Linked DNA regions of Lonchura striata. The protein of the gene in region 4 interacts with the protein of the main gene of each other region in a pairwise test. Links are inferred from orthologs where the notes say so. Each region holds a gene or a part of one and is shown on either strand. Other genes may lie near its edges.

Region 1 (6,908 bases), on a different chromosome or scaffold from region 4:
ACTGCCCTTAAATTCCAGCACCTTGGCATTCAACATTCCCCTTCCCTTCCCTCTGAACAGGATAGTCACCATGCTCTCAAGAAAGGGATGTCAAGGAAAAAGAAAAAGAAACGGAGGCAAGAAGTTTGTGTCTTCTTTTCTTTTTTTTTTTTACCATGAGGTGGTTTCAGTTTTAGCTTTTTGATGGGAAAAATACATTTTTTTTAAAGGACAGAAACTCTGTGTATTCTTACAGGATCCCCCAAGCCCAGTTAGGCAAGCAAGTTACCAAAATGAAAAATCCCTTCTGCCACAATTGTAACAAGACAAGAAACATCCAAACCCTGACCGTGAGGTGTTTTATCTTCAGATAAAATAACAATAGGGAAAAAAGGAACAAAAAGAGGACGGAGATGGAGGAGGGCTGTGATAGATGCAACTTGCAGCCAGAGGACAGCTAACCCTCCTGTGCTTGCATAACAGCAAAACTCCGCTCAAACACAGAAAGTAGATGTTAGATAATGTTCTGATAGCACAGGGAGCAAGTTTGTGAACCAAGTCTACATTCTCCCTAATTACAGCTTGCTGTGCTATTGGCATCTCCCCTGCAGCCCAAGCCCATCTGCCATAGTGCACATTAAACAAACACAGCACTCCACTTGGGGCCTCTTTTTTATCTCACACACCTTCAAGGATGCCTTCATTTCTGATTTTTCCCTTTGTCCAAAAGCAATTAATAGGACAGTAAAAAAAACCACTGCTTGTTCACATGGGATTTTACCTTTTCTAATCTGAAATACAGATGTGCAGCAGTATGAACCCATGGAGACAAGGCAGCGAGCAGAGCTGACCCTTCCCTCGTGATCAGAGGTAGGAGGACAAGTGCTCAGCCCAATTCTTCCAGTAACAAACCCACAGCAGAAAATGAGGCCCAGGACAGTTAATTATCAATGACTTTTCTGCCCAAACTAAGCTTTCAAGAGCAACTTAGCCATGAAAAGTAGTATTTTTTTTATTTTTTTTTTCTGCACGGAATGTTGGTGCTGCAGGGAAATGAGCTGCTGGGCAGAAAGCTTGACATACACTGGAGATGTTCAAGTTTTTATTAAAGAATACAATGCATCAAATTGATACCAAGATGCAGGACACCTAAATTTTCATTCACGTGGCCAGATTTACAGAATGAACCATATCTGAATTTGCACTCCCCAGAAGTCCAAGGACAGCTACAGGGGAAGTCCTCTGAAGGTGTTCCATGGGGCTCCAGCAGGCCTGGGACTGTGATTTTACAGACCCTCCATTCAGAAATAACTTGAAAAATTAAGAAACAAAGAGCATGAACCCTTCTGAGGGAACACATCAGCTGTTCAGCAGGCCCATCAGAACTCCTTAGGGAGTTCTGAAGTGGAATTTATCCAATAGAACCAGAAAGGCAACACTGGGAGGAGAAATCTAGTGGCTTTAATCATAAACTTGGGAGAGAATTCAAAGATCTCATGTCCAAATCTAAGGGGGTAAGTGCTTGCCATCAGGCTGAATTTAAAAAAATAAGCTGGAGGTTTTGTTGCCCTTCACGTTAACCTCTACAGTGCCACTGTGTGTTGGCAGGGACAGAGCCCAGTAAACATCATGTCCCACCTAATGCCATATGTAAAAACTATTAAATCGGTGCTGTGAGCTGCTGAGGTATTGTTGTTGTTATTTATTTTGTCCTTTTCAACCCTTCCAAAGCTCTTCCGCTTCCAGTTCCACTGGCTGGGAACAAAGTAAAACCCTATTTCCAGTGATGTCCAACAATGGGGCCACTGTAAATTCTGTTTTATTGCCAGTGCCACAAAACCGAGTGGGATTAAACGTCCAGTTGTGAAGAGGAAGATGAATAAAACTCGAAATGAAACTGCTCTGAGCGACTGTGACCTTCAGAACTGTTAACGTCCTGCTCTGATCGTTTGTTATGACCCCCGCAGCCCGGGAAAAATTCACAGCACTATGGAGTTTATTATTTGAGGGGAAAGAAAGGGGGGAAATGTGAGTGGATTTGCGTAGCTAATGATCTGAGAGCAGGAGCAGGATCAATCTCTCAGAGGCAGCGAGCGTGGGGGGGAGGCGAGGAGCGGGCTCAGCCTCTGCAAGATTCCTGCCCCAAAAATCTGGGAGAAAGCGAGGCCGCGCTCGGAGCCACCATCCAGCGGCGCGGCGAGGCCCGCCTTCCCGCGAGAATTTTATTGTGATTTCCATTATTTAAAAAAAATAAATAAATAAATAAAACAAAAAAAAAAAAGCTAAAAAAATTTTACAAATAATAGCGATCCCCAGATATTAAAATAAATTTTAAAAACACAATTATTTTAATATCCCCCTTCTCCCCGGGTGAGCCGAGGGCGCTGCGCCGCCATCGCGGGGCCGGATCGCCGCCCCCTTCCCCGCCCGGGCCGCCCCCCGGCCCCGCCGCCATCGCTCGCGGCCCTTCCCGCGCCGGCCCCGACACGTGCGGCCCGCGCCCCCCGCTCCCCCCGCTCCCTCCTCAGCAGGCGGGTCACGTCGGCCCGGGGGAAGCGGCGCCCCCCGCCCCGGGCCCCCGCGGGGGGCCGAAATGGAGCCTCGGCGCCGTGCCCTCCCCGCGCCTGAAGGGCACCGGCCGCGGCCCGGCCTCGCCCCGGCACTGCGGAACCCCCTCGGCGGGGCCGCGAGCGCCGCGCCCGCCGCCATCGCGGCCCCCGCCCCGGCCCCGCCATGCTGCGGGCCCCGCGCCCCCCCTCCCTGCCGGCCGCCGCCGCCCATGGAGGCCGGTGCGGGGCGAGGGCGGGGGGGAAGGGGGCGGCGGGGGCGGGCGAGCGGCGCCCGCGCCGGGCCCGGGGCCGGTCCCGTGGCACTGCGCACCCACCTGCCCATGTTCTGCCTCCCCGCGGCTGACGGGAGGCCGGGGCCGCCGCCGCCGGGGGGCTTGCGGTTGTTGCCGGCGGGCTGCGCCGCCGCCGCCGCTTGCTTGAGGGACATGGCGAGGAGGGAAGGGAGAGCGCCGGGAGTCGCGCCGGGCTGGGTGCGCTCGGCCGGTCCGCGCTGCGCTGGCGGGGCCGGGGCGCCGCTGGCTCGGCCGGTTGCTCCCAAACAGTGCGAGCGGGGCGGAGGGAGCGGAGCGCGGCGCGGAGGGATCCGCGGAGGGCGGGGGGGGGGGGGCGGGCGGCGGCCGGGCCGCGCCGCGGGCTGAGGGCGGCGGCGGGGCCGGGGGGCGCGGCGGCCACAGCCGCGGGCTCGGGGCACCCCCGCGGGGCCGGCGAGGGGCGGCGGGGCTGCGGCGGCGGGCGCGGGGCGGGCGGCGGCGCGGACTCTTTACGGGAAGTCGGAGGGCGCGGCGGCGGTGCTGCGGCGGGTGAAGGGGCGGGGAGGGAGGGGGGGACACGTGAGGCGGCGGCGGCGCGGGACGGCGGCGGCGCCCGCCCGGCCCGGCCGTGAGGCCCCGGCGGGGTCGGGGGAGTCCCCGAGCCGGCTCAAACCCCTCCGGTGACACCGGCGGGCCGGCCCCGCACGGCCCACGGTGTGCGGCGGTCCCCGCGCCGCGGGCCCGCAGGCCGCGGCCTGGTGCGGCCCGGCCGCGCTCGCCCCTCCCCGGGCCCCAGCGAGCGGCGGGCTCGGCCCGCAGCGCATCGTTCAAAAGAAACCAAGCGTCCAGAGACGACGAAATGGAGGAAAAATGGCCGAGCCCCGGGCGGCTGCGGAAGGCCGGGGGAGGAGGGCAGGCCCTGATCCGCAGAGAGCTGCCAAACACATCCCTGCTCCTGGGGGAAAGCAAGATGGGGCCGGAGGATGGCTGCTTTCCCTGCAGTGCCCCTCCATCTTACACATTTCGGAGCAGTCACGGCTTCCCCTCCTAGTAATGAAATTTAAATTTGCATTGCGCCGATGGGTGAAATCTTTACGCTCAAGATGCCAGTTCTCCCCTCACTCCGTGTTACCTGCCCACCATCGGCAGGCTCCCTGCAGAAATCCAGGGTGCTGTGGTTGTGAACCTGCTTGGTGCAGAGTGGGAATTTCACCAAAACCAAAACCCATACACAAAAATAAAGCCTGGTCTGGCCTATTAAAAAAATAAATAAATAAAATAAATGCACATACAGGATTAGTAAGAGCAGATGCAACTTGAAAACCAAGAGCTAAATTGATTTATAGCCATGGTTACTCGAAATGCTCAGAGTTTAATCTATTCATAGAAATGCTCTAGAAATCCCACAGGATTCCAAAGGAATAAAAAGGAGCAGTGCTCTTAGGCAGGCATTATTTATACACCTTGCTCCTAAAGCAACAGCTTTCCCATGCGCTTGGAAGAGTTGTGGGTGGCAGCACACAATGGTAAAAAGATAAAATATTGAACAGCTTTCTTAAATTAGCATTTTCCTTACATTTTACCTTTTAAACTGATTGCTTTGTTTTACCTCACAGGCTCAAGTAACCTTGTGGTTAGCACTTTCTAGGCTAGATGACAGATCCTACACCGATGGGCTCAGCATTGAGTTTTCCCATAGAAAATACTCTTAACAGAGATGGTGATTTAAAGAAATTTCATTTTTTAATCCTTTTAGTGAACTCACAAGATGCTTCACTATTTCACAGCCACAGAACTGAGTGAGAAGGACACTGAGGGTTTCTGGAGCCAAAGAGTTTCTGTGGAAGATGTCAGCACCTGCACAGCCAAAGGTTACCACTGGCACCAATTTTGGGAGCATTCACTGTAAGAGCAGGAATCTGGTTCACTGTATGTGATAGGATAAATAAATTCCTAAAGCTGCTAAGAAAAATCCTTTATATATATTTGTGTAAAACACACTAGCATGAAAAAGCAATATAAGACAATATATAACAATATAGTAGTAGTAATAATAACAACGCTAATGATAATAATAATAGTTGTAGTAGTATATAGATGTATATAAAAATCTAAGAAATATATAGGGCCCAAAAGAGGCTATGAAGATGTTGAGGGGTCTGTGCAGGGCCAGGATTGGACTGGATGATCCTTATGGGTCCCTTCCAACTCAGGATATTCCACAAATCTGTGAACCAATCTCTTTAGGCTGCTCTTTTTAAGTTCTACAGCTTTGGATTAGTCATGAACCTTGAGCAACTTTGAAAAGGAAGTTGTTAATAAAAAGCACAAGGAAGTCTGATAAGAGAGTGAGTAGAACTCATCCAGGTCACTCAACGTGGGGTTTTTAGAAGATATCACTTCAATACTTCTCCAGCCTGGAATGTTCACAGCTCACAGCACTTAGTGACTATTTCTGTGGCTGAAGATTAAGGACCACAAAAGCACCTGCAGCAGTTTGAAGGGGCTGTGGGGCAAAGATGGAGCCCTTGATAGCCAGAAATGTCAAAAAATACCTGAACCAAGTTCCACAGGCAGAGACAGTTTCTAAGACATTACATGAGCACACCAAAGTACATTTTAGGGTGACATTACGTGCTCAGAAAGCAGGGTATGAATGGGCTGGCATTCACATCCTCAGTAATGACTCAAGAGCAGTTGCAGTTTGACTTGTTTTCCCCTTCAATGTATTCTTTGTTTTCTTAAGCTCCGTTTGGCTTTCGTTGTGCCCTCCCTTTTTTCTTTGTTGAGCATCTTTATAAAAAAGCAGGTTAAAAGTAAATATAGAAGTGATCATTTAATATAGCTCAGCAATTACCACCAGAGAAGCTACAGGGTGGTTTCCAGTGGCAGCCACCTTCTCCAGGGACACCTCCTCCTCCCCAAATTCCCAGTATAATGGGATTCTACTGTTGTTAGGGCACATCATTGCCTTTACCTCTTCCTGAATATGCTTTTCTTGATAGCCCACCATTCCCAAGTTATTATTTTATGGCTTGGTTTTATCAATTTCTCACCCTTTTTTTTTTTTTTTTTTTGCTCTTCCCCACCATTTATAGCTGACATTTTGGATGTCATTGATGTGACAAAAAGCAGTGAACAGTGGATGTGGTGGTTTAGCTGGAGAAAAATTCAGGATTCAATCAAGAAAGCAAGGAAACAATTCCTAGTGGAGAATCATGCTCCCTTTTGCCTCTCCTGTCCACGATCCAGGTCAGAGCTGCTCCTTTCCAGGACTGCTATTTCCCTCCAGATGTGTGACGACGTGTGCAGGCTGTATTTGCATGTGGAGATGAATGAGGCTGATAATAGCAGCACTTAGCAGGAAGTGCCGTGTGATGTAACATTTCCTTGATCTAACCTGCTGTTCGTCTTGTGCTCCCTTCCCTGAGCTACCCAGGGTGATCCTCAACAGCATCCAGCAAGACAAAACACGCCTGGGTACACGGGGACAGCAGCACAGGCACAGGGGTTTGCTTTAAGCAAAATCAGCTGCTGGAGAAGCTCAGAGAGCTGAGCTTTGTCACACACGTGTTTTCCCTGAAGATTTCAGTTCTTCGGTGCCATTATCCCCACCCCTCCTCTCGGAGGGTAAAGCTTTGTGGACAGTGCTGTGAGCACAGGGATCTCCAAACACTTGGAAGGATATTAAGAGAACAAATCAGGTGCTGACACACGGCAGAGCTTCCCAGAGAGATACGATGTAGCCCGTCACCAAAGCTGCCCTCAGTTCTGACTGAGGACACACCCCTGGCCAGACCAGGATTGGTACCACAGCAAAACCAAACCCCAAATTCCAAACCAGCCACGTGGAGCAGCTGCTGCCACCTCTGCCTTCCCCCCTTACCCTGATCTTCCCATTGCTTCCAGCTCCCAAATTCCCAGCTCAGCTCTGAGCGGAGACCAGCTCCCATCAGATTCAGTTTTTGATCTGCACTTGCAGTTTTGTTGCCATTTCTTCCCAATCCTCAGCCGTGCAGCCAGGGCATGGCTGATGGATGTCCCTGCTGGGCCATGCATCCAGCTGCTTCTCCTGCAACCAGCAGGAGATGAAGGGAAATGCTGATGT
Region 2 (6,943 bases), on a different chromosome or scaffold from region 4:
TGTGGGGTGAGCTGGAGAGGGGGGCAGACAGCAATAGGTCTCCCCATTACCAGGGATGCTGCAGGGCTTGCTCACAGGTGAATCGCTTGCCAGGGTCCTTCTCCATCAGGTGCTGGATGAAGTCCTTGGCTGGAACACAGCATGGAGCAGCTCTCAGAGCCTATGTCCACCATTCCTCTGGATACTGTGAAGCTGCGCTAGGTTCACAGGTCCCACTGCCCTGGTGGTCCCAGCTCACCTGAGTCCGAGATATCATCCCAGTATGGTGAGTCAAACTCGTACTCAGCCTGCAGGATCTGCTCAAAGAGCTTAGCATCGTTCTCGTCATAGAAAGGAGGGTAACCACAGAGCCTAGGGGGGCAGTGGGGAGGGGGCTGCTAGTCCCAGGCAGCCCCAAGGTGCCAGGCCCCCAGGAGGGGAAGGGAGTGGGAAGGGGGATACATACAGGATGTAGGCGATGACTCCGATGGACCAGCAATCCACTGCTTTGCTGTAGGGCTTCTGTGCTAGCACCTCAGGGGCTGGGGGGGATGGCAGCGGTGAGGGGGGACCCCAACCTGTGGGGGGATCCCAACCCCACACCTAGGGTGGTGGCAGCCCATGGTAGGCACTCACCCACATAGCCAGGGGTGCCACAGGCTGTGGACATGACACTGCCACAGCCCTCAATCTTTGACAGCCCAAAGTCACTGATCATGATCTTGGAGTCCTCATCCATGCTGTAGTAGAGCAGGTTCTCAGGCTGTGAGGAGAGGAGGGTAGAGGGAGGGGTGACACTGGGGTCTCCTGCCCGGTGCCAAGACAGTGCTGTGTGTGCCCCCCTCAACTGCTCACCTTCAGGTCACGGTGGACGATACCCATGTCATGCAGGTATTTGACGGCATCGAGGATCTGCCGGATCAGGGCGCTGGCGTCCCGCTCAGTGTAGAAGCCCTTCTCCACGATGCGGTCAAAGAGTTCCCCCCCCGAGACCCTGCAGGGACGGGCAGCACCTGTCAGCATGGCCCCCCCGCCCCTCTGGAGCCCCACAACGTCACTCACAGCTGCATGATGAGGTAGAGGTGGGTGCCACTCTCGTAGATGTCATCCAAGGCCACGATATTGGGGTGCTTGATTCTGCAGGGGGAGGCATAGGGGGGTGGTGAGGGGGCACTGGGCTGCCCCCACCCCAGCCCCCAGGGGACAGGGAGCAGCCAGGCTCCACGCCGCAGGTCATCACGCGCCGCTGGCTATTTTGGGCACTGGCAATAACAGGCGGCAATGAGTGCTGGCAGTGGGGGGCTGTGCCAGGTTGGGGCGGGGGGCACAGAGTGAAACCCCCACCCTGGTGCTGGGATGGCCCCTACTTGTGGAGGACGGCAATCTCGTTCTCAATGCTGGTCTCCTTTCCCTCCAGAGCCTTCTTGGCAATGCACTTGATGGCCACGAGCTTCCGCGTCGCCTTCTCCTCCGCCAGGACCACCTCGGAGAAGGCCCCCCTGGGGGGGTGAGGGATGAGCAGGGCACGGGGACCACCAGCCAGAGCTGCCAATGCCGCCATGCCATGATTGTCATGGTGACAGGCAGAAAGTCCAGCTATTTATAGGAGAAAAGCAAGCAGGAGTGGCTGGCTGGGATGGCCGGACGTGGACCCTGGCAGCGAAAGGATGCCTGGAACCCTCCGCCCTCCCAGTGTGGCTGCACCATCCCCATATCAGGCAGGGTAAGGTTGTGGTGTTGCCAAGGTCAAGCTGTGCTGGGCTGAGCTTCCATGCAGGTTGCAGTAGCTCTCCACTGTGCCATCCTGTAGCACCTAGGGCCAACCAGGCGCCAGCCAGAAGTGTTGGCAGTGCCCAGGTGGGAAAGAGACAGGAGGGACAGGCAGTGTGTTCGCGCTGTGCTGGGCCCTAATCCCCGACATAATTAACCTGCTAATCCAGCCTAAGAGCCTTACCATGGGGTTCTGCCAGGAACCCCTCTGCCAGCCAGGGGACCACCTTCAGGTACCCTCAGCACAGCCCAGGAACTAGCCAGCGCCAGAGGGAGGTGGCACCTGTGCCCCACAGGTACAAGTCCCACCTTGGGCCAGGATTTGAGCTATTTCAGGACATATGCAAGCCCCACCTTGGGCCAGGATTTGAGCTATTTCCACATGGATGGTTGTGCAAAGCCTGAGGGGCCAGACCCATCCCTGTGAGTGGGCTGTCAATAGTGTGTCACTCCAGTCTGCAACTCACGTGCCCAGGACATCTCGGAAATCATAGATCCGCTGAATATCCTCGATCCTCTTCTTCCAGCTGGGCCCATCCTGCCCCAGCGGCATGGTGCCCTGTGGGGCAACTCACTCCCACCTGTGACACGAGTGGGACAGGCTGTCAGCGTGCTGGGATGGCATAGGGACACGGGGATGACAGGGTGCTACAGGGAGGTGGTTGTCATCGTGGGGTGACGGGAACAAGCTGTGTCGACGCAGGAGTTCTGGCGTAGTTTGCCCCAGAGGGGGAACACGCTGGGACCCTCCCGATGCCCGCCCATGGGGCGGATGCGGGGCGGGCAGGCAGCAGGAGGGCTCCCGACACGCGCGTAGGTGCACGGGGGGTCCCCACCGCCATTCCCCACGCCCGCCGGGCGGGACACGCGTGGCAGCAGAGCTGCGCGGCGCGGGTGATGCGCGGCTCCACCGCCGCCGCTCAGTGTCACGGTGGGAACGACCTCCGCGCGTGGCACGCCGCCCCCGCCCCGGCCCGCCCTTACCGACGGCCGCGGCCCCGGGCCCCGCGGCGGAGCGGCGGCGACTCCTCCCGGCGCGGCGCCGCCGGACAGCGCTGACGTCACGGCGAGGGGCGGGCAGCGCGCGGCCGCTGCCAATGGGAGGGGGCGGCTCGGCCGCGGTGCCGGGGGGACACGCGTGACCGCGGGCGCGCGTGGACACGCGGGAAAAGCGCGGGGAGGGAGGGCGGCAAGCGCGGCGCGGCGTCACCCACACACCACCCCACCCCCGGCCCACCGCGCGTCTGTGCTGAGGATGCGAGGGCATTCCTCGGGTAGGCACGAGTGGAGTTGCAGGACAGACACAGCCCCGCCACTCCTCATCCCCCTCACCTCCCCAGACCGAGCCCACCCCCACAGCCGGGCAGGGCTGTCCCCCAATGTCACCACACTGTCACCTGCACACGGCTGCCTTTATTGCCGGTGCTCGCGGCAATAGAAACCACCGGTACATGGAGAGCTCGGCCACCCACCCACCAGACCCCTCATCCCTCCAGCCGCTTCCCCTCCCCACTCCCCCCAGTCCACCCGTGGGGCTGGGATCTCCCCCTGCCCCGCATCACAGAGAGGGACAGGGGACCGTGGGAATCGCACCATCACAGCCGCCACATCTGGCCCCTGCAGTGACCTGGCTGATGTCACCCGAGTAACAGGGGAGTGTAGGGCGGACGTGGGAGTGGAAGCCACCAGCCGGGGTGGGGGTGTTCAAGGGAGGGACCTCGGCAACTCCACCGGGTGCCCAGCTTGGATCAGTGACAGCCCTACACAGGGAGAGGACAGCAGCTGGGCTCCTTCATCCGAGTAGGGAGGCTGACCAGACTCAGGGCATGGGGGAGCTGTGCCAGTTCCATCCCATGGTGGCAGGGCTCAAGCAGGGCAGCCCCCTGCAGGTGAAGTCCACACAGAATGGGGGGGTCCTTGGTCCCTGCTACCCATCCAGCAGCTTGAGGATGCTCTCCCGCTCCTTCAGGGTCTTCCAGGCCTGGTCCTTCTCCTTTTTGGTGGGCGTGCGCTTCTTCTGCCGGGCAGCCATGATCTTGCGGAATGCATCCATCACCTCGTTGTCAGCCATGCGGACACGCTGCCGCAGCTCCTGCCGGTGCAGCTCCTCCTTGGCCAGCCTGCGGGGCACAGGGGGGCGTCAGGCCCTGCCAGGCAGCCCCCTGCCCGCACCCATCCCAGCCCGCTCGCTCTCACCGCAGCAGCTCGTGTTTCTTGGTGCGGTTGTGTGCGCTGAGCGCCTTCAGCTCTGCCTGCCTCTTGCGTAACTCAGCCAGCACCTCGTCCTCCGAGTCCTCAGCCGGACGGTCCTCTGACTCCAGCAGGCCCTGGGCTACCAGCTCCTCCTTGATCCGCCCCTCCAGCGACTTGGTGTGGGGGACACTGCCGGGGTGAGAGTGGCTGCTGCCTACCACACGCCCTTTGCTCGCTGTGACTCACAGTGGCAGGGAGCCAGCAGCGTGCTCGTTGCACCCGCGGGCAGCGCTGAGCTCTGGGCCCGCCTCAGCTGCTCACCTGAAGGGTTTGTTCTGGCTGCGGGGAGATGTGCCAGCACCGTCAGCTCCCGAGTCCTTGCCAGTGATCTCAGGGATGGGGGAGTCCTCAACAGGGGAGATGATGTTCTCCTAGCAAAGGGAGCACGAGGGAAGTGTTACAGTGCTGGGTTTTGGCAGAATGCTCTATAGTGCCAGACCACCATGGCCATAGTGCCATTGGAGCCCCTCACCTCCACAAGGGCCTGCAGGAGACGCTGTGTCAGGGGACCAAAGGGACATCCATCCTCTGGCTGCTCGTGCTGGGCTTCTGACTTCTTCAGGAGGGCATCAACATCTGGGAAGAAGCGGGAGAGGGGAAAAAGCAACCCCAAAGGCACAGACATGAGCAGTGGGGCAGGGCTACCTCAGCCTTTCTTGGGCTTGGCTCCATTGGGCACAAGCCCTCCCAGCCCCTCAGGGCAAAGGCAGGGGTGGGATTGGGGCACCTTTAGTGTCCAGCTCAGTCAGTGGCCCCAGGACACCTTTCTTCTTGTCAGCAGCAGCTGCTGCCCGGGCTCCATCCTTCTGCTCCTCCAGCAGGTCCTCTTGTGCCCAGCGCTGGGAGTAATGCTTCCCCAGTGGTGGAATCTGCAAGAGCAAGGCTCAGCACAGCTCCTAGAGCCTCTGCCTTGCCTCCCACCTCACCAGTGCCATGGCAGCATCCCAGGCACGAAGAGTCACTGTGAGGTGCCAGAGGGGATGGGGAGAGAGGGCAGAGGAAGGGGCTTAGGAGCTTTTCACCTTGTAGTGCTCAGCCTCATCCTCTGGCGGCTTGAGCAGCTCCTCCAGGACTCTGACCTCCTCGTTGGTGAGATCGGCACAGTACGGCTCCACCGATGCCCAGAACCTGCAAGAATGGATGAACTGTGAGAGGGAGATGCAGGGGGGCACATGGAAGGTGACACATGTCCCCTTTCCCCCTGTGGCCTCTTCTCTCAGGCTAGAGGTAGCGCTTGTGCCATGTGCTCCAAAGAAGGAGAAAGATGATCCCAATGCCTCCCAACACCCACACACCTGTTTGGAGCATCATTTTTGGGGATGCGGGGCACATCAATGGGGTCATCCTGGAATTCATATTCCTGGATCTTGGGCTGCAAGTTCTTAGACTTGGGCCGGCCGGGCCCAGGCCCAGTCCCATGGCCCCCTTTGCCCTCCAGCTTCTGCTTCTTGGGCTTCCCATGTTTTACGGATGTGCCCACATCGTGGTCCTTGCTCAGCTTCAGGAACCGCCGGTCGCCCTTCTTATCCTGCCAGTCCGTCAGGATCTGGAAGAGAGTGGTGTCCCATAAGATGCTGTGCCCAGCGCTGGGCAGGGGCAGACCAGAGGCAGCCCCTTGGTGGAAGGAGCCAGACAGAGACTGTCCCCGGCTCAACGCGGCCCCAGCACCTGTGTCTCAGCCTCCAGGACGCGAAGGCGGCGGCTGGCAGAGGACAGAAGCGTCTCCAGCTCCAGCTGCAGCGTGTCCAGCTCCTCGATGCCGATGCCATCGTCCTCCGAGCGGGCCAGCACGGCCGTGTACCGGGGGCACACTTTCACGTGGTCCACCGACTTGAAGTCATGGAACTGCAGCGGGCAGTCCTTCAGCTCGCTCATGGCGGTGGGGACCGGCACGGGAACACGGGGGAGTGGGGGGCGGGAAAGCCGGGAGGGAATGGAGTGGAGTGAGGGACTACGGAGGGTCGGGGGGCATCGGGGCTCTGCGGAACCCGGGGCAGGGGATCACCGGGGCGGTGAGAAGAACGTGGGGAGAACCACCAGGGCGCTGAGGGAACCCGGCGGGGGGGGATCACCGAGGAACGCGGCGGGGGTCACCGAGGGGGAGCGGAGGGAGATCGCGGGGGCTGCGGGGCCGAGGCGGGGGCGGCCCCGGGCGCAGCGGAGGCCGCGGGGCCGGGCCTGGGCCGGGCGCCCCTTCCGGCCCCGCGGGGGCCCCGCCCCCCGCCGCCCATTGGCCGCGCCGCGCCGCGCGCCGCCGCCCATTGGCCCGGCCCGCGCTCCATCTCCCTTCCCTAATATGGAAGCGCTGACAGGCCCGTACCAACCGCGGCACGGCGCGGGGGGGAGCCGCGCGGAGTCTCGCCGCCGCCACCCGGCTCCGTGCCGCGGGGGGGGCCAGGCCGCAGGGCGGGAGCCTCCAGCCGCCCCCCCTCCTTGCCGCCGCAGTGGGAGGCGCCGCGCATCCCGGAAGAGGCGATCAGCCACTTCCGCCTGGCCGGCCGGAGCTCCGCCGCCACCATGGTAGGGCGGGGGGCGCCCCGTGAGCGGCGGTGGCGGCGGGGAGGCTGGGGAGGGTCGGGACCGGGACCGCGGCCGGCGGAGTGAGCGGGGCTGAGGGGGCTGCGGGCTGCTGGTCGGGGGCTGGGGCAGGGAGCGAGACGCGACCGCCGGGCTCCGGTGGGGGTCTGACGCCACCGCCGTGTCCCCGCAGACCGCCACGCTGCGCCCGTACCTGAACGCGGTGCGCGCTACGCTGCAGGCCGCGCTGTGCCTGGAGAACTTCTCCTCGCAGGTGGTGGAGCGGCACAACAAGCCCGAGGTGGAAGTCAGGTACGGGGGCGGGAGGGAACACCGAGAGAGCCCTGCCGAGCCCTGGTTGCCCGCCCTGGGGACCGCTGGCCCGTTCCTGCCGTGCACTGGCCACCCCCGGCCCTTAGGCGGA
Region 3 (7,976 bases), on a different chromosome or scaffold from region 4:
GCCGCAGTGCATGATCAATAAATAAGGTGAACAACATACCTCCCTTCCCAGTCCACGACAGCATGGCAGGAAACTCATCCAAGGCCAGCACTGAGATCAGTGCTCAGGCCCTGGCTGTGGTGCCCACTGCAGCTGGACAGGTTTTCACAATTAAGAGAAAACTGACAAACACTGGTCCCATGAAGCAGCAAACCCCCCAGGCTTGCACTGCTGCTTGCCTTTCCTCAGTATCCAGGCTTTGCTTGCCCCGGAACAGAAACTCAGAACAAAATGCTGAAAGAGACCATTAGGAACTGCCCAGGCTGCTCACTGCCAGCTCCAAGAGTGCTCATACAGGGAGGGAAAGGGTGAAGGGACAGGCTGACAGTGTCAACAACGTTCCAGAGAGTAGGACACTGGAGGAGAGCAATGCTTCACCTCAGAGTCTCAGTAAAAGGGGGAATTCAAGATGGTTAAACCAAATGTCCCTTACTATGTGTCACTGAAAGCTGTTTTGAGCAGGGTTATGGTGGGCAAATTTCCAACTTGGACCAAATTCACAGAAATCCTGGCTCCTTTTTCCCCTAGGAGTACTTAAAACTTCTTTAAGACTGTAGTATGAAAATTCAGATTGCAAAGAACTGCCATAAATGAGCAATTCAAGCAATTACAAATACTGGGTGTCAGTACAGCCACTTGTAAAAGGTTTCTAGGCCCTTCTACTCAATACTTATAGGAATGTTCACGGTACCTGCTGCTGTATGTGGATCTGTGAGAGCCTCTGCAGTTTGGCTGCATGGTCAGGAACCGCTGGAAGCACAAAAGAGAAATCAGTTTGGGCTGTTTTACAGCACATGGGATTAGCTCCCAACGTAAACCCCAGTCTTCCTCCATGAGCACAGCATGGCAGAACTCCACTTGCTGAGTGCAAGTGTCCCACACTATAGATAAAACTCACAGAGGATAAAAAAAATTACATAACTATCCTGCACATGGCACAAGCTCAGGGATGCCCACAGCGAGGGCTACTCACGAAACACACGGGACTAAACCACTGGCCAGAACAGATATTCTGGATGTAAAACAGCTCACAGGAAGGAATGACCTGCCAGGCTCCACCCCCTCTGCCACAGTGCTCTCTTTAGCCTGCTTCACAAGCTACTCTATCACCTCCATGACTTTGCAAGGGAGACTAGGGCAGCATGTGGCAGGAGCAGACTAACTTTGTACTCAGTTTACTTTCACACCACTAAGCTGTCTTCTTCTCTAGTCTCAGACTCAAGAGAAAAGAAAGCAAGCAGGACAGGCCACAGCTTAGCAGGTGGCATTTGCAGCTCCAGCTTGCAGAACATGCATACCTTGGATACTGGTGCTGTCCAAGATAGGCTGGAGGTTCTTCACTTGCTCCAGAAGGGCTGCACGGGCAGGAATAGCCTGTTCCTCTGGTTGTGTGGGGACAAGAAGCAACATCAGTAAACACAAAACACTGCTCTGGCTTTTCACTAGTGGTAATTTTCCCAGCTGATCTGTCTTTACAGAAAGGATTCATGATTTTTCATCACTTTTGTGCTGCTCATCCCTGGGTCTTGACTGACACCAATTTCAGGCAGGAGAATCTCCACCACGTTCTAATGATAGGACAAGGAGTGTACAAATGGAAAGAGGGGAAATTTAGGCTGGATATTAGGAGAAGATTCTTTACTGTGAAGGTGCCCAGGAGGATGTGGATGCTCCATCCCTGGCAGTGTTCAATGCCAGGTTGGATGGAGTCTGAGCAACCTGGGAAAGCTGGGGAAGGTGGATTGGGACTGGATGGTCCTTAAGTTCCCTTCCACCCCCTTAACATTCCGTGATTCAGTGGAATTCCACTGACAGATTATACTGGTCACGGGTTGATCAAACTCCTTGGGTCAAGAGAGGACAAGGCTAGGGGATGTCAAAACACACCCAATTGTCCCAGCCTGGAGAATACTGAAGTGGGGTAAGGAAATCATCCTAGCTCCCGCTTTTCTTACCAGCCTTTGATGAATTTGGGGCTAAATTGAATGATCAATACAGAAGAGATCAGAGCTGACAAAACTGCAGTGTGGCTGTGCACAAGGGAGCACTGAGGGTGACAGACACCCTTGTGCAAACCATCTCTCTGATACCTCCACAGGGCCTGCCGTGCCACATTTTACCACTGAAGAAAATAAATTCATCCTGACCCATCTTAGAGAAAGGATGCTTTATTTGCAGTGCTACAAAAGCCTCCTCTTTCCCCTCATCTCATACCTGCCAAGATGAACTGCAGCTTCATAGTGTCTGGAACAGCCATCCTGTCAATGTACTGGGGGTCAAGGTATTTTATTATATCTTCAACTGGAGGGATAAATAGGTTTGGAGACGAAAAGTAGGGAGATGTTATGGCATTCATAAGAGCAGCATTTCATGGAGAGCAGATCCTGACATGGGCAGATGGAAATTGAGCAAATAACAGGCTCCAGCCGCCCATTTCCCACTCTGCCTGCTGAGCTGGAGATTGCAAGCACATAAACCTCTCCCAGTTATTTATTTCTGTGCCAAACAAACTGAAATAAGCGCCCAAGCCAAAAAGGTGTGGGGAAGGTATTTTTGTTTAGAGCAGTGAAACTGTTTGGAGCTCCCCCCTCCCGCCCTCTGCGATCCCTCCCGTTCCGCAACAGCCGCTCACTCTTCTTAAACAGGATTTTGATCCTCTCCCTCTTGCCGGCGATATTGTTCAGCGCCACCTGTACCTTCACCAGCTCGTCTGCCACCTGCAGAGGCACAGAGGGAGGGGAGGAGGCTGTCAGGCCCCGCCGGGCAGCGGCACCCCAGGCCCCGCCAGACCGCACCAAACGGCGCCCGGCCGCTCTCCGCAGCTCCCCCCGGCACCTTTTGCGGCCCGCAGCCGCCGAGGCCGACGCGTTGTTCCAGCTCCTCCAGCCGCCACTGCAGCCGCCGCAGCTCCGCAGCGCCCGCCGCCATCTTCGTGCCGGGCGGAAGCGGCCGCGCCCCACTTCCGGCGCGCCCTGGCGGTTGCCATGGCGGCGCGTTGCTAAGGACCGCGGTTGCCATGGAGACGGGAGGGGAGGCCGCGTCTGGCGGCGCGGAGCCCCTCTCAGAGGATGCGGCGCGGTCGATGGCGATTTGCACTGCAGAGGGAGGCGTGCAGCCCTCCCGCTGCCTGGGAAGGCAGTCGATGGCCGCTTCATTCCGGCGTGGTCCTCCAGGAAAGAGGCGCTCAGATGTATTAAAAGGAATTGATATAGCGATCCGTGCGCATGCAGGCCCTTTGAAATGCGGGAGGCTGCCGCCGGCTTTCCCCCAGGCCTCTGTGTGCCCGCGTTCACCTTTCTGTTATTGATTGCCACAGGTGACACTCGTGAAGAAGAGAACTACTAATGAATGGTGCAGCCAACCCCAGCCGTGCCACTGCCTTCAACTGGCACTCACAATTACACAGACTTCTAACAGGGATAAAATTAATTCATAGTAGCTGCATCTGCCACAGAAAAAAATCCAGAGGGTTTCCCAGCTGCACAGCAAAAAGTATCTGAGGGTGCTTTAGGTAGACTGTAGCCAGCAAGTCAAGGGAGGTGATCCTGACCCTCTACTTAGCCCTGGTGAGGGCACACCTCAAATGCTCTGTCCCTTTCTGGGCTCCTCAGCACAAGAGAAACAAGGAGCTACTGGAGAGGGTCCAGCAGAGGCCACAAGGATGATCTGGGGTCTGGAGCATCTCTCTTCTGGGTATAGGCTGCTGGAGATGGGCCTGTTCAGTCTGGAGAAAAGACTGAGGGGATCTCATGAATGCATATAAATATATCAAAAATTGGTATCAGAGGGCATGGTGCCAGACTCTTTCCAGTGGTGCCCTGTGACAGGATGAGGAGCAATGGTCATAAAACAGAAGGAAAGACTTCATTATCCTGAGGGTGGAAGAGCACTGGAACAGCTGTGCAGGGAGGCTCTAAAGTCTTCTTTCTGGAGATATTCCAACCCCACCTGGATATGTTCCTGTGTCACTTGCTCCAGATCACCCTGTTTTGGCAGGGGGGTTGGACTGGGTGATCTCCAGGGGTCCCTTCCAGCCCTGATGATTCTGTGATTCTGTGAATTTTCAAAGCACATTCTGCTGTCATTCTCTGTATCCCAGGGCTCAGTCCCATCATGTACTGATGACTTCAGCAGTGCCAGGATGAACATGGGCCTGGGTTTTGCACTGCCATAGCCCAGGCACCAGGGAACATCAAGTCAAGGTTCCAGGCCACTCTTTAGATAAAAACCATCTCCTAACTGCAGGTATTTTGCTAACATCACTGATAATGTGGGAGGCATGGCTTTAAGGAACCCTCCCATTGCCCTTTGCTGAAAGCTAAATCTGCTGTGCCGTGATAAATCATTGTCCTTACAGGTACATTCCTACTGGGCATTGTATAGTCCTACCAGGGTGCAGGAGGGAGCTGTGGGGTGGCCCAGTGCCTCAGCAGCCCTTATGCTCCCCCAGCTCACCTGCAGGAGCTGTGCAGAGCACTTAGGCAGCAGGAGAAGGCTGAGGCTTCGTGTGTGCTGCCTTTTCTTCCCAGGGATCGATAACTGGGATCTTCAGAGGGTGAAGAGCTGAGCTTTGTTCCACAAAGGCGACAAATAGAAATGGCTTCATTAGCAGAAGCACCTGGGGGCTACAGGAGGGGCCAGGGGCAGCAGGAGGGCCGGGGTCTGTGCACACAGCGATGGTCTGTGCTTAGAGGGCACCAGCTCTACTGTGGCCTGGGCCCAGCATGATGGGCAATGCCCCAGACACACAAACACCTGTACTAGAGGGTCCCAGACTACCCTGAGCTGAGAAACTCAGGCAGTCCTGGGCCTCACGCACTGGGGGCTTTGGGACTGTCCTCATCCTCCTGTGGGAACTCAAAATGTCTCTCAGACATTTTTGGAGGTTCCAGGCCTTGGTCAGAGGCATTCTAGACCCCGGCAGGCAGCTGGAAACAGCTGTGATTTCGAGTTTGAACCATGGAATGAATTACCAACTTTGAAGGTGGAACAAGCAGTCACAAAAGGTTAGATAGTATAGTAAAAGTAGTTACAAAGTAGAGGGGAATTTTTTTTGGTATTGTACAGGGGGGTTTTAGCACATGTACAGGGGGGCTTTTACTTTGTACATGGGGATCAGAAGTTCTAAGATGGAGGAAAGTGGGCTGATCCTGTTCTTCCTCTTTCTTCTTCCTTACCTCCATGTTCTTGGTGATGTTGGCATTCACAGATTGGTTTAGAGTAGAAAAGCACTTGGTTATATAGGTAGTAGGTATTGGGGAATAATTGTAAACATGTTATACGTGATATATCTTATGAAAGATAGCAGCAGACCTGGGCGGGGGGAGAGAAGAAGAAGACACTGGGCAGTGAGGGTGTCAGTGTGTGTGTGTGTGTCTGCCTGGGCCGCTGATCAAACAGCCGCAGCCCAAGAACCCAATCTGTTAGATAACTAGCAATAAACTGCCTTGAGACCAAACAGCAAGAGACTGCAGAGTTTTTCTTTGGGAGCATGGGTTGGAGGAGAGACTTTACCACCACTTGAGACCCCAAACCAAACACGGTGTTCTCACATCCACCCTTTAGAGTTCCATCCATTTTGCAAGCCTTGGAATGGAGCTGCAGCTACAGCACTGATTGCCCACAGCCCAGCACATGGAGCCTGTTCCCTGCTTCCTGGGCATAGAAGCAGGCCTTTGACCACATCCCCTGGAGCTTGCAGGGGCACACTGATTCAATCACTTGCCCTCAGCTCAGTGCTGAAGCTGGATTCAATGCTCCATCGGCTGGGCTGGATTGTCCCCTCATCCTCCAACTACTCTCTCCTGCTCAATTACAGTCCCTGCAGGACATGGGGAAGCAGGCATCAATCACGGCTGTTACTCAGGTGACAGCAGCTGTGTCCCCAGGCTCCCCAGGGAGTACGGAAACACACATCACCCTCTGAGCCTGGTAATGAGTGGGGACGGGGCCCGCATGTGCCCTGCTGGTTCCCTGGGGCTGTGGTGCTCGATGAGCTGTGGCCAGCACTTCACAGCAGTGCAAAGGGACACAAGACCGCAATTAAGGCTGCATCAATCCCACTCCAGCTCTGCTTCGTTCACTCACAAACAAATCCCCCCCACACGCACACACATATGCCTTGTTCATGAACCTTCCTCCATCCCCAGTGGCCAGACCACAGGGGTCGACCCGCCAGACCACAGGTCCTCTGCAGGGGTGTCAACCCATGTCCTCAACACGTTTCCAGCGTGACACCCCACCCTCCGCGACACCCCCGTGTCCCGAGGCTGGGTCCGGGGCGGGCAGGGCTGCTGCAGCACCCTGGACAGCGACAGCACTCCCGGGTGGGCTCAGAGGTCCGGACTGGGGGTGCTCCCTTGCCTTGGGAATCCGCGCTGGGATGTCAGCGGGAGTCCGGGCTGTGGCTGTCTCCGAGGGGCTGTTCTGGGAGGACTGGGGGCTGTCCTCGAGGGGCTGAGTTGGGGCTGTACCTGAGGAACAGCAGCTGTTCCCGAGAAGCTGTGTGTCCCCAGGGGTCTGAGTCTGGCCTCGGGGAGGGGGCGGGGTGGGGACTCAATCAGGAGTTTCTGCCCCCTTGGGTGCCAGGGACCTATCTTCGTCGTTGCCTCTAGCCGGAGTGTCTGTCCCCACGGGAGCCCCTGTGCCTGTTCAGATGTTCAGGGGGCTGCACACGTGTGGCAGTCCATGTGTGGGCATGAGTGTGACAGTCTCAGAGTGCATGCCATTGAATTTGTACAAGGGAGTACACATGACCACCCACATATGTGTGTGCCTCCCAGCTCCACCATGGTCACCTGTGTCCTCTGTGGGCACTGCTCATGTGCCAGGTTGGCGCATCACTCCTGGCATCTTACCAGGTCCAAACTGACACCCCCATGGACATGGTCTCAGCAGCTCCAGTGTCATGTTTCCTTTCCTGCACAGGGCAGCCTAATCGGATCTCCACTCATGGGTGAGCTGCCACTGAGTGCTCATGGGGGCTCAGCCAGGCTCATGGACAGCCTGGCTGGCACAGCTGAAACTGGTGACCTGTCTGATCCAGCCCACGTCTGCGAGCTCTTGTGGGCATAGGGCACTTGTTTGCAACTCAGAGTTCCCAGAACCTGAGCTGGAGGCAAGCATGAGTTGGGCTGTGAAACCTCAGGCACTGCAGGTGTTACCCCAGGGTATCACAGGCTGTTGGGATGTCCTGCACCTCCATCTGGGCCCCGGGGCTCGGTGGGTGGCACCATGCCCTGCACACAACCCTCAGCACCGTTTTGGTTCAGGAGTTAATTTCCTTTAATAGATACATGGAGTCGCGTGGTTGCGGTGGGAGTGCGGGGAGCAGGCCAGCGCCGCCGAGCCCCCCGTGCTGAGGTAGAGGTGAGCGTTGCTCCACACTCACCTGCTTTGGCACCCTGGGGTACACGTGGGTGGAGGAGGCGCCCGCCCAGCCCCAACGAGGTAGTTCAGAGTGCCCTCTGTCTCCCTGTCACCCATCTGGAGACCCTGGCACCCAAGCAGTCTTTGGTGGTGGTGGTGGTGGGGGCTCTACTGGGCAACCCTGCCCTCCCCCACCAAAAAAACCCACCCCGACATAAACCCCCTACCCCAGCCACACCCCAATAAGCTTCACCCCCACCATTCCCACCAATATCCCCATTATTTGCCCCCCCCCAGGGTGATCCCCCTGAGCTGAGGACCTGGGGGGCTCAGATGCCACCACCCTGGGGGTATCTCAGGGCAGGGACAGCAAGCCCAGGCAGCACAGGAGGACTGGGTAGGGGCGTCTGCAGTGGGTAGGGGGTGCAGTATATATATCGGGGCTGCAGAGTATAGGGGCTACAATTTACAGGGGCTGCAGCATATCATGGCTGCACGGAGGGTGTGTATGGAGAGGTAAAGTGGGCACCAAGGGCGTGTGCAGGGAATACAGTGAATGCATTGAGGCG
Region 4 (7,738 bases):
GCACAAAGACACAAGCCCCAATCAGTCCCGAATGTTTTCACAACAAGTAAATCAGAAAGAACTCCCTCCCTAGGCTGTACATGGTAACCTCCTTTGGATTAAGACTAGCCCAAAATCTGGAGTTAATATATGGTATAGGAGAGAAGCATACAATATATTCCTGATCATTAAAGTGTTCAAATGGTCTTCAGTTAATTTCCATATGACAGAGGTCACCCTTCTCTTTGGGTAACCCTAAAGTGATGATTAAGACTGAGATATGTATGGAAAATATTTTTCTTTCTGAGACCTGCTGAGGGAGTAGATAGCCTGGTGCTAGTAGAATTGTATCAGCCACAGTTAGGTCATAAGATCATGCATCCAGGAGCTGGAAGCCTGTGTTTGTTTTTCACAGGTTATGCCACGCAAAAATAAAGGCTTGTGTTGACAGTGAATGGGCTAGAGGAAGTTGCAAATGATGAGGTATCACTTCTCTGGGATTTAGGTAAGAATTCCTAGGAATTCTAAAGCTGGAGAATCATATCCTAGATTCTATCAGGACCACCAAAACAGAAAAAGGTCTGATGCTAGAAGGGATGTAAGGTAAAACTAAGTTTTGAGAAATTATCCTTCAATAGAAGGGATTGTTCTCCTGTGATGGTGTTAGTGGTACAGTTCAGTTATAGGAATGAATGGACAAAAGAACTGTATTTATTCCTAAATTTTACTAGGATGGTCATCTTAAATTGAGGATGCTAATACAGTAGTAGGACTGTAGTAGCATGGCTTACAGGATATATTTTGATCTGTTAATGGCCAGCTTCACTTCTGGTTTTACAGAAGAGGATGTGTTAGCCTTTCAGAGAAGGTTGAAAACAGTATTGCAGCACAAACACAGGCTGCATGATGAACCCTACCTAAATACAAGAAGTTTGTCTTTTGTTGAGACATAGGTGTGAAAAGTTAGGGTTTTTTCCAGAAAAAAAAAAAAAAAAAACAAAAAAAACACAACAGGATTTTTTTCTAAATCCTGGAAGACCTGCTGTTGCTGCTACCTGGAAGACCTGCTGTTGCTAGACCAAAAAGCCAGGTTTTGAGTTTGGGTCTGTCAATGTCACCAGTCTTCCACTTGGGCTGAAAAAAGTGTACTTCTAAATACATCTGCAAGTATTTCTGGGACAGACAAATGTTGCTTTTCTGGCCCTAATAAAGGAGTTTGTGTAATGACTGGAAAGCCAGGCTAGCTCACCCTTTCTGCAGACACCGCAAAACACTCAGGAGTGCTGGGCACAGCAAGAGAAAGGAAACACGATGGGGTGGACTACATTTGGATTCAGATGAACTTTTAGAAGTTCATCTTCCAGGTCCACAGGGGTCTGAGATGTTAAATACACTACTAAGTGGGCTGTGTGCTGCAGGGCTCCATTGAGCACTGACACCCTTAGCTGAGCTACTATTTAAGTTCAGGTCACTGGGCTAGAGTTTAAAGTTACAATTAGCCCTCGGAGTGTCAGGTTTAACATAATATTCCAGACCAACAGGAGAGTCAAGCTGGTAGACTTTTGGAGACAGAGCTAACTGACCTAATCGAATTCAGGTGAATGTTAAGGGCTTGTCATAATTTCACTTGAAAAGTAACATTTATGTCTCATCCTGTGGTTCTGCTAGATTTCACTTGAGTTAGTCTTAACATGTTAAACCAAATTTAATCTGGAGAGTCTGAAGCGTCAAGTAAAGTTTAGTGACAGCATGGCTTAGGACTGGTATAGGTATAGGCCATTAGAACTAGGAAAACTACTGATGCAAAAATCAAATGGAACTAAGGTTAGACATGGGCAAACAGGGCCTGAGTTTAGGGCTAAGTACTCTCATTATGGTCAATGTTTGGTACCAGAAGGGCAGAAGAACTTTGTGAAAGTCCATCCTGCAAGTGATGCACTGCTCTTTTTTCTAAGTGAGAGTGTCTTCATAAGGAAAAGCCTAGCAGACTAGGCTTTCTTCACCACCTAGAAGGTGGTGAAAGAGGAAAAAGAGACACACAGTACTTATCAAGACTTTGGGACTGCAAGAGAATGGTTTAGAAGTCTGTACACATATGCACATCTGTTTTCCCCGGTTTTAACCTTCTTCCCATCCTTCCGGTCTCTCTGTGAGTCTCCCTTCCCCCCAACTCCCACAGTCCTATGTCTCTTCATGTCACACAGACATTCCTTTATTTATGTTTCTGTTCATCCTTCCCAGTCCCAACATTGGGCAGAGGCAGCAAGAGAAGAGGAAGAACAAGGGAAACAGCTTTACCATTTTTTTTTTTCATCTTGTGACCAAAGAACATCAAGAACCACAACCACCAGCACCACCACAATAAAAATGGATGTGTTGCAGCACCATAGTTTTGCTAGCCTGGAGAGAGCAGTAAGTGAAGAGGTTTGACGACAAGCCTTCGGGGAGGGATCGAAGCATTTGAGGACCGCCAGCAGCCAGTGAACCGGCTGTGCCCGCGGGCTCTCTGGACGGCCGGGCACCGCTGACCCCACCGGACCCCATCACCCGGCACTTGCTGTTTGCAGCAAACCTGCCTCGAAGGGCACCGGGCGTCCCCCGAGGGGCACCTCAGAGGCCGCCCCTTCGCCGGCCGCGCCGAGGCCCGGCTGCCGCCGCACGGGGGGCACCCAGCTGTTGCCAACAGCTGTGTGTCAGCCCCGGCCGCGCCGCGGCCGAGCGCGGGGTCCGCCCCGCCGCCGTCCCCGCCCCCTGCGAGGAGGAGGAGGAGGAACCGAGAGTGACCGACCCGGTGGCTTTTAGGGGGGAGGCCACTCAGTCGTTAGAGCCCAGGCCCTGCACTCCTCTTCCAGCTGCTGTTTCTGCTCGTTTCCAGCACTACAGCCGCCAGGCTGGCTGCTGCCCGGCCTCCCCTCCTCTTTTTGCCGGTACCTACCTCAAAACCGCCCGAGGCTGCGAGGCTCCGCTCTTGAAGGAGGAAGAAGCTGGGTCTGCAAAGGCAGAAGGGAATTGCATTGTAGCTGGGTGGCGGGGGGAAAACGGGGGGCGGGGGAAGAGAGGAGAGAGAAAAAAAAACAAAAAGGAAAAAAAGAGCGGGGCTGAGTCTGGAAGTGGGTCTCGCCGCCCAGGACCCGCACACCCCGGTGGCCACGCGTGGGTGCAGATCGCGGCGCGCAGGGCCGGGCTGAAGATGCACACGACGCAGAAGGACACCACTTACACCAAGATCTTCGTCGGGGGCTTGCCCTACCACACCACCGACTCCAGCCTGCGCAAGTACTTCGAGGTCTTCGGGGACATCGAGGAGGCGGTGGTCATCACCGACCGGCAGACGGGCAAGTCCCGGGGATACGGCTTTGTAAGTGCCGGGGCGCGGGGCAGGGCGGTGGGCGGCTGCGGGAGGGCATCGCGGGGAAACTTCCGCGGGGGCCGCTGTGAGAGCTCGTGGGCCGGGAGGGGCTGCCGAGCGTCCGGTTTTTTGCTTTTCTCTCTTCTTTTTTTTTTTTTTTTTTTTAATTTTTTTTTTCCTTTTTATTTTTCTCTCTCCCTGCTGGGGAGTTTGGATAGAGGCGGGGTGGGGGGGATTACTGAACAAGGAGATTGAGGGGGGGACTTGCCTAATTCCTCGCACACCGCCGGCGCGCCTGTTGCTCGCTGATACGGCCGCTGCGGGGTTTATCTGCCGGCGGCCGAGCTCGGCCCGCGCCCTCCGCCCTGCGCCCGGCGCGGCTCCCGGCGCTGCGCTGCGCTCCGCTCGGCGGGCGGGCCCCGGGCCGGGGTCCGGCCGGCGGCCCCTCGGCGCCGCCCGCGGGTAGGGCCGGGTCGCTGCTATGGGCGGGAGGCTTCTCCTTCCCCGCGGAAAGGGATCTAATGCGCGGCATCGCCCGTTAAGGTCACCACGGCTGACAGAGCTGCTGCCGAAAGGGCTTGTAAGGACCCCAACCCCATCATCGATGGCAGGAAAGCCAACGTGAACCTGGCGTACCTGGGTGCCAAGCCGCGGATAATGCAGCCAGGTGAGGAAGCAGCTCCGAATGGCTTTTCTCTCCATACCTCAGGTTTCTGAAGAGAGTAAAACTTCAAAAAAAGGTAGTGCTGCCCTCCACCTTCCTGAAGTACGCACACAGTTGGGCGTGCTTTGGTTTTGATTTTTTAAATGCAGCATGTAGTAATTTTCTGGCTATTTTGCACATGTGCCTTATTTAAAAAACAAAAGCAATCAGAGATAAAATATCTGGAGTTCCCCAGGAAGACTTCCACAGCTCAAACACTTCATTGGTTATTCCTGCTGCTGGGAATGTGGTGGCGCTGACCATTTACAGTATCGTTGCAGGGTAAGATTGGCCTAGGAGTGACTCGCTTCCAATGTGTGCGGTCTTATTAACACAAACATTAAATATCTTAATACAAACTTCTCAAACATATGGGAGCAATTATACAGATTTTAAAATGAAATGGCTTTTCCTAAGACCACTTCTGAGACAATCTGATTTCCTAGCCACTTCCCAGACTGCTGGGACACTTGAAGCAAAAGTAAGAGGAGCATGGAGTGTGTGCACATTTATGCTCTAAAGGAGGTCGTTCTGAATTCCCTCATGTTTAGCCTGATGAACACTTGTGCGAGTAATTAATTGCCTGCCAGTAGAAGACAGGGTTTCTGCTAGGGTGTCTGGAGAGCAGAAATGAAGTTGGGATTTGACCCCCTATGCTAAGTCCTGATGAGTAGGGGTGACTTAAATTTTAAGTCTGTAGAAATTGCACAAATAGACTGATGAATGGAAAGTACCATCCAGTCATTCAGATGCTAAAGTTAGGGATCCAAATGGAGCACCAGGTAAAATGTGAATGAAAACCCTGTACTTGTTTAGAAAACGTCGTTTTCCTAAACATCTCTAGGAAAGCGTGTGCTTTACTGGTTTAAGTTCTGTGTGTGTGTGTGTATGTATTTTGCTTTCTAATTTTTGGTTCTACAGCGTTTCAGCTATTGTTACTGCAGGCTGTTAGTAAAGGCTCTTACTCCGCATTTTTTTTGTGTGTGTGTATATATATATAACATAAAGAAGTGGCCGAAAAAACAACCATACAGAGAATATGATGTGTTTTTGTTGGTAGGTTTTGCCTTTGGTGTCCAGCAGCTTCATCCAGCTCTCATACAGAGGCCTTTCGGGTAAGTCTCAATGGGATCTCAAAGAGGGGAGGAAATAAATCTTTTTTTTCAAAAAAAAAAAGGAAAGAAAAGTATGATCGTTGAAGGCCTCTTACAGTAGCATCCTTAAAGCTGGCCAGCAATGCTGAAGCTCTCAGATTTATAAATGTATACTCATAAATGTGCTCACCTTGTCGGTCATGTTCTAAATGCCGCAGCTGAGTCAAGTTGTGTGGGACGTGGCCCTTCCGCCTAAGCAGTCCAGTCCCACATGACCCTATGATAAAACAAGGAGGAATAATTTGATGCAAGATTGCTGTGCCCCATTTCTCTTTTTTCAGCTTGACTCAATGTTATTTATCTCTTTCTAATCTGACAGGGATCGTTTACAGTTAAGATAACTGATCAGAAGGATATGATGATAAGAGGTGGAATAGTTCTGTTTGGAATTAAACTCTGTAACCAGTAGACTCAAACACAAACAAGCTAAAATGGTGATTAACGATGCATGTATGTTTTTTTCATATAGTCAATAGACCTCCGTGTGCTTTTTTTTTATTACAGTAATGAAGTGGTGTTGATAGCTAAACTGTGTGCTTTTATTTAATTGAAAGAGCTGTAGTGAAAGTTTTTTGGGGGGGATCTTTTTTAATTTTGGTTTTGTTGTTGAGGAGTGACTTTGCCATGGGGAGCAAAGGGCCTTTTTTTTCCTTGCTTTCAAGCTGTAGCCTGTGACTTTTTTAACCATATTTTGTAGTGAGTGCTATCTTGTGTGATTTCTTGATTTTTAAGTAAATCAACATATTGCTTGCATGTTCATAATTTTTGGGAGGTTTGTTCTTGGGAAGGGTGTGGATCTCCTTATTAACGATGTGCGTCCATTTGGGCTTTCTAATTTGAGGGGATTTTTTCTTCAATCTGTCATTAATATGTAGTGCATTTCTCCTGAATTTGAGTATAAACTATTCCTAAGTGGATCTAACTCTTGCTTCTTATAGGCATATCATTAGGAGGTGAAGTCTGCTTTAAGCTTTCCATAGTGTCACTTCACTAATGCACAGTGACTGAGAAACTCATTGCAAAATAGTGCATTCTGCTAATAAATGCATAAGCTAACAATATAGTAGGGAAAATGTGTTGCAAATGTAGTTTATTTGGTTAGACTGGCTTTAGAATATCATACTTACCTGTTATGAAACGACAACAGCTTCTCAGTAATTTAATTTGTCAGAATGGAAGGAAACAGTTCTTATCCTGAAAACAACAGGAAAAGGTTTTTCCTAGAAACTTCATGTAATTTTAAAAGTGTGTTGATTCTTCTGAGAGTGGGGAGGCTGTAAAAACATTTTTTCTGTTTTTTTTTTCTACCTTGTTATGATCATCCTCTACTGTATTTTGCTTGCTTCTTTGAAGTGTGAGATGACAATGTATATGCACTGATCAGTTTATGATGCCTGCACTAAGGCAGGCAGGAGGCAGAACACCTCCTCTCCAGAGCTATTAAAACATTTGTTGAAAAGGGAACTACTGAATTGTGCAGGGATCACAGAGTCTTTGCTGAGCACAACAGAAAAGGAGGATCTGTGGCAGTCCCTTGCTTAAAGGACTCTGCAAATGTAGGAGTCTTTCTTGCTTTCCTTACCCAAAGCCAACAAGAGATGACATAAACCATGTTTAAGTCAGGGAGATCCTTCCAGCAAGCTGAATGAGGTTGGATTTCTAATGCATTGCACATAAATCTGAAAGAATGTTGGTCACGGAGTCATGTTTATATAAAATTGGTAATTTTTCATTCTTGACTGTTGCATTTCTTTCACAATGTGTACACAACAGAGATTACCAACCCTTCTTCCTCCTCAAAATTTCCGGTGATCTATACCTTTATCTAAAGTATGTGGTTCAGATTAAGGAGAACAGCAATCATTAGGATGAATTAACATCTTCATTCACTTAATTGACAGTAAGAAAGGATGTTTCAGTGCTTATTTGAATCTCCTTCTGTTGAAGAGTTCACTTCTGCTGTGTGGTTTGCATTGAAGTACATGGTCATCCTAAAACCTTTGTTCTTCCTGTGCAATTGTACTTTGGAAGCACACTTCCCTAATACACTCTGTGAAACCAGCTGTAGTGGTGATTCACTGCCAATACTCAGCTAATCCATACACAAAAGCTTCAAATGTTTTGTGGTTGAGTTTTGTTTTTTTTCCTAACAGTGCAAATTAGTGAGGTGCTGCCATATTTTGGTACAGTCAGCTGTGTTTTAGAATCACAGCGTCATAGAATGGCCTGGGTTGGAAGGGACCTTAAAGATCATGTTGTTTCAACCCTTGCCATGGACAAGGACACCTGTCCCTAGACTATGTCATTCAGAGCTCCTTTCAGCCTGGAATTGAACACTTTCAGAGATGGGGCATCCACAACATAAGGTTTCACATCTGTCAAACAATAAACTTAAAATAATTTGATTACATTACATTTACTGAGAAGATGCAGAAGTTCAATATTCTGACTGAAGTACAATACTGTTGTGGTAGAGGGAGACAGAAACTAGATTAGCTTCAATGCATGATGCATTTAAAATGCAGGGAATTTTTTTATTCAGTGCTGCAGAAT

The links.
Region 1: the proteins of ATXN1 (region 4) and ATXN2 interact in binary tests that used the Homo sapiens proteins (3 or more experiments, as listed by UniProt). The link is inferred for Lonchura striata from reciprocal best matches to the Homo sapiens genes ATXN1 and ATXN2.
Region 2: the proteins of ATXN1 (region 4) and CAMK1 interact in binary tests that used the Homo sapiens proteins (3 or more experiments, as listed by UniProt). The link is inferred for Lonchura striata from reciprocal best matches to the Homo sapiens genes ATXN1 and CAMK1.
Region 3: the proteins of ATXN1 (region 4) and DCTN3 interact in binary tests that used the Homo sapiens proteins (3 or more experiments, as listed by UniProt). The link is inferred for Lonchura striata from reciprocal best matches to the Homo sapiens genes ATXN1 and DCTN3.

The regions. Positions count from the first base shown.
Region 1 is NC_134620.1:11,796,350-11,803,257, reverse strand, and holds the start of ATXN2 (ataxin-2), read right to left. Parts: upstream 3,007-6,908; 5' UTR 2,977-3,006; coding exon 2,864-2,976; intron 1-2,863. UniProt on the Homo sapiens protein: Involved in EGFR trafficking, acting as negative regulator of endocytic EGFR internalization at the plasma membrane.
Region 2 is NC_134614.1:15,394,027-15,400,969, forward strand, and holds the start of CAMK1 (calcium/calmodulin-dependent protein kinase type 1), read right to left. Parts: upstream 3,010-6,943; 5' UTR 2,734-3,009; intron 2,331-2,733; 5' UTR 2,303-2,330; coding exon 2,217-2,302; intron 1,479-2,216; coding exon 1,347-1,478; intron 1,117-1,346; coding exon 1,042-1,116; intron 974-1,041; coding exon 835-973; intron 743-834; coding exon 616-742; intron 522-615; coding exon 446-521; intron 352-445; coding exon 239-351; intron 130-238; coding exon 51-129; intron 1-50. Other genes in the region: TADA3 (transcriptional adapter 3), read right to left, coding at 3,677-3,869, 3,946-4,131, 4,264-4,373, 4,475-4,578, 4,730-4,871, 5,025-5,130, 5,298-5,548, 5,671-5,877; ARPC4 (actin-related protein 2/3 complex subunit 4), read left to right, coding at 6,520-6,522, 6,713-6,831. UniProt on the Homo sapiens protein: Calcium/calmodulin-dependent protein kinase that operates in the calcium-triggered CaMKK-CaMK1 signaling cascade and, upon calcium influx, regulates transcription activators activity, cell cycle, hormone production, cell differentiation, actin filament organization and neurite outgrowth.
Region 3 is NC_134642.1:40,926,177-40,934,152, reverse strand, and holds the start of DCTN3 (dynactin subunit 3), read right to left. Parts: upstream 3,007-7,976; 5' UTR 2,968-3,006; coding exon 2,875-2,967; intron 2,757-2,874; coding exon 2,672-2,756; intron 2,341-2,671; coding exon 2,254-2,340; intron 1,422-2,253; coding exon 1,338-1,421; intron 790-1,337; coding exon 731-789; intron 1-730. UniProt on the Homo sapiens protein: Part of the dynactin complex that activates the molecular motor dynein for ultra-processive transport along microtubules. Together with dynein may be involved in spindle assembly and cytokinesis.
Region 4 is NC_134603.1:90,444,693-90,452,430, forward strand, and holds the start of ATXN1 (ataxin-1), read right to left. Parts: upstream 3,011-7,738; 5' UTR 2,915-3,010; exon of another isoform or gene 2,674-2,914; intron 1-2,673. Other genes in the region: RBM24 (RNA-binding protein 24), read left to right, coding at 3,170-3,337, 3,872-3,995, 5,092-5,146. UniProt on the Homo sapiens protein: Chromatin-binding factor that repress Notch signaling in the absence of Notch intracellular domain by acting as a CBF1 corepressor. Binds to the HEY promoter and might assist, along with NCOR2, RBPJ-mediated repression. Binds RNA in vitro.